2 linked regions of the Cricetulus griseus genome follow. The protein of the gene in region 1 interacts with the protein of each later gene in a biochemical or structural test. Links are inferred from orthologs where the notes say so. Each region holds a gene or a part of one and is shown on either strand. Other genes may lie near its edges. The genes, in order: desmoglein-1-alpha and Pkp1.

Region 1 (3,823 bases):
AAAAGGGAAAGTGGGGGAGATGGAGGAAGAGGGAGCATATCAAAGGAAAATATAGATTAGCAATGACAACAAATATTCAAGAACAATGACAAGAAAATCCTTGTTCTTCTAAATACAAAATTACTACATTGTTACAATTGTAAATGTTAATATTATCAGAATTCTTAATTTTCCATTTTACCATCTTTTCTTCCTGACATAATTACTCTTCCCCCCCGAATCTTCAGTTGAATACCAGTAAGAGTAAGTTAATAGTTAATGGACACTGTATTTTACCTATTTAAGGTAAGAGACCATAACGCCAAAAATGGTACCATCAGTTGGCACACCATCAGAAGGCAGAAACGTGAGTGGATTAAGTTTGCTGCAGCTTGTCGGGAAGGTGAAGACAACTCAAAAAGAAACCCTATTGCCAAAGTAAGTGTCAACCCCAAAGCATGGATCTAAACAGCACACTAGACAGGGTCACAGTTCTGGAAGGGCCCAGCTTTTATGTGCTTTGTGCACACATGGGACCTAACAGCACCTCCCCATTCAAATTATGAAAACTAAAATTCCTAAAGGGATAAACCAATGAAGTTGTGTACTTGGATTAGCAACTAAACATTGTCTCAACTCATTGGTAGTAGTCCACATGAATAATTGTTATGCTATACTCCAAAACAACCATGGTTTACAGATAGAGTTCAGCATGCTGAGAGTACGTGCTCTCTCTGCTTTGACTTAACTTCTATTTGTCTATATATATAAGGTTCAAAGCATGCCTCATTCATAACCTCAAATTCCTCTGGTTTTTTCTTTCTTCATACACAAAAGCACAAACTCAGGAAGTTATTCCCTACACACACACAGATTCACTCCCATCGACATATAAAGAGAGATATACACAGATACAAGTACAAGCATTCACACAGATGGATATGGAAACTGCCTTGTAAGATTTACTTATATTCATATGATATTTACATGGACAAAAAGCTAGACTCTACAATTTTTTTTACTTTATAATCTTTTATTAGAGTGGGCTCTTTCCTTTTCTTTACCACTTTCAGAATTAAAAGTTTCAAATAATTTGTTACTACAAAAATCTACTTAAACATTTTTTGAATCTTAGTATTTTTAAAGTTGTTTTTGATTTAAAAATCAACATTATAAAATAATATATATTTGATATAAAACTCTCCAAGAAAGCAAGAAATAACCTACCCTGGACGAAGCTAGAATAGAATCTAAAACTAATACAAAAATAAAATTATAAATGTTTAATGATTATGGGATCTATGCACAGCAGCTATAAAGACTTCTTAGAGTAGCATTTGTTTCTTTATTGTTTGGTAGACATAGAAATAGGGCTGGCATAGTGGGGCACTCCTTTTGCACAGCACTCGAGAGTTAGAGGCAGACACATCTCTGTGAGTACAAGGCCAGCCTGGTCTACAAAGCAAGTTCCAGGACAGCCAGGGCTGTTTAAGACAGAGAAACCCTGTCTTAAAAAAACTAAAACAAAGATAAACAAACAAAATAAAAAAAGACATAGAAATGGGATTATCTCATTACATTGCTATTTACCATTAAGAATGCACACTGACCACATACCTATTACTAAAGATCATTTCCCTGTTTTTAACACTTCCCAAGTGATACCACAAATGGCACATTCAACAATTCTCAAGGAAAACATTGTCATATGTCACATGTGGATGTCCACATGGCTCCTGTAACATCTTCTCCTGTGTCTTTGTACAGATTCATTCTGACTGTGCCGCAAACCAGCAAGTGACGTACCGCATCTCTGGAGTAGGAATTGACCAGCCACCTTATGGAATCTTCGTTATTAATCAAAAAACTGGTGAAATTAATATAACATCCATCGTTGATCGGGAAGTCACCCCCTTTTTTATTGTAAGTGGGCTTTGTGTCAACATCTGTATGCAGATGTAAATTATTCTTAGAAAAATTTTAGACCATACTAGATTTGATTTCAAGACTCCCCAAATCTGGCTTTCTGAGATTCAAATCTTTCTGAATTCACTGGTACCCCAATAGATAAAAAATAATAATATAGAAACATTTTCTTTATGTGCTAGCAAAAAAATGCTAATTAACATCAGCTCCATGACAAATTAGATTATTTGCTTGGAAGGGTAAATCTTTAGCTTTTGTTCTATCTTAAAAAAGAAAATCCGTGGAAATTGATGCTTCCTTTTAACTCCAGTGCCAAGTGATAAGCCTGGAGCTCCTGGAGGCTATTTGTTCCATATGGACATACTTCATCATAACGTTACACTGTTCAAGATCATCTGAGCCCTAAAAGAAATTTGAAAACTCACTCATCCTTAGTCTCTCTCTGTCCTCCCCACCCCCAGTCTCCTTTTCTTGTAGAAGTTGTCACACAACTTAAGCAGCCTGTCTTTTAATGTCTCACCTCACTTCTCCTTAAGCATCTCACCTCCAAACCAAGCCACGATCCCCTGTCCTGACACCTCCCATACATACACACAGAACATTCACTTCTCACTCAGATACATTTCTTACTGCTTCTAAAAGCATGATCAATTTTTGCTTTCCCGGAACTTTCCCATGACATGTCTGTCACCCTGTTGTTACTTGTCTCTTGAAGAGCATTATCCTGTCATCGCCTTTCCCCCTTCTATTCTCCTTAGTCATTCACTGCCTTCATTTCCCTCTATGGTCATAGCTAACACTTCTTAATCAAGAAAAAAAATAAAATAAGCTGGGCGGTAGTGATGCATGTCTTTAATCCCAGCACTTGGGATGTGGAGGCAGGCAGATCTCTGTGAGTTCGAGGCCAGCCTGGTCTACAAAACAAGTTCCCGGACAACCAGAACTACACAGAGAAACCCTATCTCAAAAAACCAATAATAATGATAATGATAATCTTCTAATGAACTTGTGATCTCTTCAATTAAAATCTCATCAAACATCTGAGGATTTAACCTAGTGGCCAAGCATTTTTTATTGTGTGTAAAAGACTAGATTCAGTCTCCAGCCTTGATAAGATATAATATTTCAAACTACCTCCAAATATTGTTTAGTCCTTGCTGTGTTAATTCACACTGCACATCTGCATTCCTAGAACTACTTTAATTCCTGAGCCTCCAATTTCATATCTGTATTCTTGACTTCTGCCCTCCACAGTGTCTCCCTACAAATTCAATAAATCAGCAAAGCAGTACACAATTCACTGTTACACAGAGATGGCCTCTGTGAAATAATACACATTATAGGTCTTCTCAAGGGAAGCAGTAATAATAAAACAAACAACCGCCCCAGCACTTAAGAATGCCACATTGTTTTCAAAGTGCTCCTCTGATTCTTGCTGGCCGTGTTCTCTGGTGTCCTTCCCCTGGTACTCTTTCTCTTGATTTTAAACATAGAAGCTGCAACATTTCCTTTATCTAATGCATCAGTTTACCTTTATAAACTGGCATTTTATGCTCTTGTTTGCCTTTTCTTACTGATTATGTGTGTTGTTCATGTCTATATTTTAATGGGGAATAATAATATGGTATTCCTTAATCCTACATGTTACCAAGACAATACCTCCACCTGTAAGAACTTACAAATGTGTAACTCACCAGGGATCCTTTTCTTTCATATCTAGATCTACTGCCGAGCATTGAATGCACAAGGTCAAGATTTGGAGAACCCACTGGAGCTTAGAGTCAGGGTTATGGATATAAATGACAACCCTCCTGTGTTTTCCATGACTACATTTACAGGACAAATAGAAGAAAATTCTAATGCAAGTGAGTCACCTGTACAACTAAAGAAACATTGTGTTGATGACTAAATTACTGTT
Region 2 (3,823 bases), on another chromosome or scaffold:
CTAAGGCACAGAAGAGAAGATGAACACAGGGACAACTGTCCTCAGTACAGTAGACTGACATGGTTTCACCTATGAAATTCTACATTGGAACGGACTGAGGCAAGAAACTCACACTGCTTTTAGAACGGGAATGCATCGATGTTCTAAGATGTCGGAGTTCTGTGTGTAGGCATCTGTGTGTAGATGTGTGTCCCAGTGATGATACCCAAGTTGAGATGGCTGCCAGCTTCACTGAGAAGTCACCATCTTGTTTGTTCATAGCCAATGCACCTACAGAAAGAACAGTGGGAAGGCAGACTCTTGTTGGAAAGGACAACATGATTCTGAGGGGTAAACTGGATGTTCAGACTTCTCCCTTAACCCTCACCCACAGGAAAGAGAATCCTTCTGAAGGAGGTGGGCTTGAGCATCTGTAATTTCATGCAGCCCATGTTATTTGTTCCAAATAACACTACTATCAGGTCCTGGCTGATAGAATTCTAAGACTTTAATTCCATTTGACATTAAATGGAGGTGTTGAGCCCATACAGACCAGAGTACCTTTCCCACGGGACTGGACAGGAAAGAAAAATAGTACCAAAATATCCAGCTTAGGCCAATTAGGCCAAGTCACAGATAGAGCAGTGCCTAGTACAGGATCCCTAGGAAAGAGGAGCTATGATCCTGGCTCTGCAAAGTGCCCACGTGCCCAATGGAAGAGAGAGTACAGGCACGAGCTGGAAATGAAGCAGATGCAAGTATGGCTAGCCAAGAAAGGCTTCAAGTATGGCTAGCCACGGAAGGCTTCCCAGAAGTAAGTTTTGTAGAAGTAGAAAGACCAGGTGGAGAGTGAGCTGTCATGGTTACACTTGCTGAAATGCTCCATGTTCTTGCTGTTGAACTTGTTTTTTAGAGGACATGGCTTACCATCCAGATCACCTGGGGTCAGGAGAGAGGGAGTGGTTTCTGTGTGAGAACAGCGCTGTTACAGAGAGAGCTCACCTCTCTCCCTGACTGCTGCTAGGTGTGATTCGGAATGTGTCACAAGTCTCCATTCCTCCCCACCTTTGCCATTCCTGCAGCAGTACGCCTACCTTCTGCCAGAAAAGCAGTTCTGGCTGGCATAATGGCTGCCTTACTCTCACAGGGAGCCAAGCGGCTCCCGAATTGCAGATAGGTTTTGGAGGATACCTTCAGAAGTTGCCTGGAAGCAACCAACCAAATGAGAGTTACAGCTCAGAGCTGTTTTTACCTGAGTCGCCGTGGGGATGAGCTCTGGGAATTATACAGTATTTCATTCTCTGCTTCCATCTGTCCATCTGTCCCTGTGTTAATTTCTGCCTCTATGGCACAGTTCCTACTTCTCCTGGAGAATGTACGAGAGGGCAGCGAGGGTGGTGAAGGGCATGGAAAGGGGAGATGGTTTATCTGACCTGTGGGTGTCAGGGCACGCTGGTAGATTCCCTCTCACCAGGGTGGAGGCCTGGGTGGGAGCCTCCAGGAGATGATTTTAAAGTAGGAGGCTTCCCTGAGGCCTTGTTGAAGTATCTGTCACCACCCCAGAGTTTCCATCTGGAAGTAGCTGGCTGACCCATACCTGCCCTTTGGGGAGAAATGCCTGCTCAAGAGATGAGAGCCAAGCAGACACTGGCCTGCCAAGCTTTAGAAGAGATGACGGACATGGGCTGGATCAAGGCGGGTGAGACCTAGATGTCAGTTCCTTGGAGTCCTGATGATGTCTCTGCCTGGCTGCGGCCCCTTCTCTGGTGACCAAGTCACAGGATTTTTCCTGTTCCTTATGAAAACACAGTCTGTCCAGAGGAGCAGCTGCAGTTTGGACAGGGTCAAGAGCAAATTTACCGTACCAGCAGAGGGCTGGGAGTAAATCAGAGGCTCTTTGGACCAGGCAGAATTCTAGGACTTCACTTTTAGGGGAAAGCCTGGTCCTGGGCCCTACAATGTGGGATTCTGGAATCTATAGATGGGAATGTCCCTGAGGCAAGAGGCAGAGGAGGCAGGGTCAGTCATAGTTGCCTGCCATGGAGCTCTGGGAGTGCATGGACCATTTAGGATACAGAGAAACTGCTTTTTACAGAAAAATAGCTGAGACCCAGGGAGAACTTGTGGGCCAGGCACAGTTAGACTTCTGGAGCAAACTATGACTGCCACAGCCAATATCTCTAAATCCTGCTCACCCTCCAAGATGAGGAGTGGGAATCAAGGGAAATGCCTCTTGTTGTGGGTCTGGCATTGGACAGAGGAGATGGCCCTGAGCAAGATGCTGGCCTGATTCTGAAGTACCTATCAGACAATTTGGTTCCCAGGAAATGACCTAGAACTGTGTGGGTTTGGCAGAAGTGTAAGGGTTAATGGATTTAAGGGAGGTAAAGGTTCAGCCCCTCTCCCCTTTAGACAGGCTTTCTGATGGGGGGGGTGTTCCAAGCATCAATTCAGAGGAAAAGGGTGCATATCCCACTAAGAAGGTTCTGTCTGCTCACCCAGAGGCCACATTTAATAAGAGTGAGCAAGCCTTGATATGGATATGCAGGCCAGAGAACCATGGCATATTTTTTAATGGTGTTCCCAATGTAGCCAAGGAAATATGGACGCCAGGTGGCACACGACTTGGGGTACAAAAGCACAATATAGCAGAGACTAGAGAGATTGCCTTAAGTGGGGCTGGTCAGTAAGGGGTTCCTGAAGGAGATGAAGTCTTGAGTCTGGCTTTGAAAGATGGCTTTAGCCCAGAAGAGAACACAGATTCAGCATGGGGAGTGACATGTCACTGACAGCCCTGTTTCATGATGTTAGGACCTCAAACAGACCAACTTGCTTGAAGTTGGGACAATGCTGTAGGCCTCCCCACTCTCTGCCATTCTGTGAAAGAGAGAAGGAAGATGGGTCCCTGCCATGAACCTTAAATCCAGCCTGCTTTTTGTGATTCAAATCCACTTTGCCACTAATAACCGTAATGACACTCTGTCCTCCTGCAGAGCCTGTCATTTGTGGGTCTCCAAGCAGTGTACAAACATTAATTAATCCACACTGGGCCTTTGAGGTTGATCATTGTTCCCCCTTTGCCAGCGGGAGGACCTCAGAAGAGAAGGAAGGGGCAGGCTACCTGATCACCTGTGGAGGCTGGGCTTGGGTTGGAATTCACAGTCCTGACAGACGCAGACTCTACAGTGTGCACTGCTGTGTGGCTGCTCTAACCTTGGGAGTCTGGACCTGGAATGTTGAGATCCTGTCTTCCTTCCCCGAGTGGGGATCTCATCTTTGTGGATCATGGGCTGGTGATTCCCTGTGCAGGAGCTGCTGTTCTCCAAGGCTCTCCAGGCCAGCTCGTGACCTGTAGGTGTCAATGTCTTCCAAGGGGTCTAAGAGCTGCCCTGTGGCAGTCTGGTGGCTCTTTGCTGGGCCCTGGCTGTGGAGGAAATGGAGAGGGATGGGCATGGCCAAGAGATGACCAGCCATTCTCCACCCCTTCCCCCAGGAACTCAGACTGCTTCCCTCCACAGTGGTGGTGGACCTGGATGTGGGTGATAGCGCAGGAGCAGGGAGGGGTGAAGCTGATAGTCATCCCTGCCTAACCTCCCTACTCTGCCCTCCAGGCTCCATGTATGATGGGCTGGCTGACAATTACAACAACTACGGGACCACGAGCAGAAGCAGCTACTTCTCCAAGTTCCAGGCGGGGAATGGCTCGTGGGGCTATCCGGTAAGAAACTGCTTCTATTCAGAAAGATCTAGAATGTCTGTGGGCATGGTCTGGGGTTCCCGAAACAGAAAGCTTTCACTGGTTGCTCAAAAAGAGAAATGTAGACTCCAGTCAGTAAATGAGGGC

The links.
Region 2: the proteins of desmoglein-1-alpha (region 1) and Pkp1 form a complex in vitro, tested with the Homo sapiens proteins (2 studies listed by BioGRID and IntAct). The link is inferred for Cricetulus griseus from reciprocal best matches to the Homo sapiens genes DSG1 and PKP1.

What each region holds. Positions count from the first base shown.
Region 1 is NC_048595.1:216,590,755-216,594,577, reverse strand, and holds part of desmoglein-1-alpha, read left to right. Parts: intron 1-285; coding exon 286-417; intron 418-1,746; coding exon 1,747-1,902; intron 1,903-3,625; coding exon 3,626-3,770; intron 3,771-3,823. UniProt on the Homo sapiens protein: Component of intercellular desmosome junctions. Involved in the interaction of plaque proteins and intermediate filaments mediating cell-cell adhesion.
Region 2 is NC_048598.1:53,356,918-53,360,740, forward strand, and holds part of Pkp1 (plakophilin-1), read left to right. Parts: intron 1-3,590; coding exon 3,591-3,697; intron 3,698-3,823. UniProt on the Homo sapiens protein: A component of desmosome cell-cell junctions which are required for positive regulation of cellular adhesion.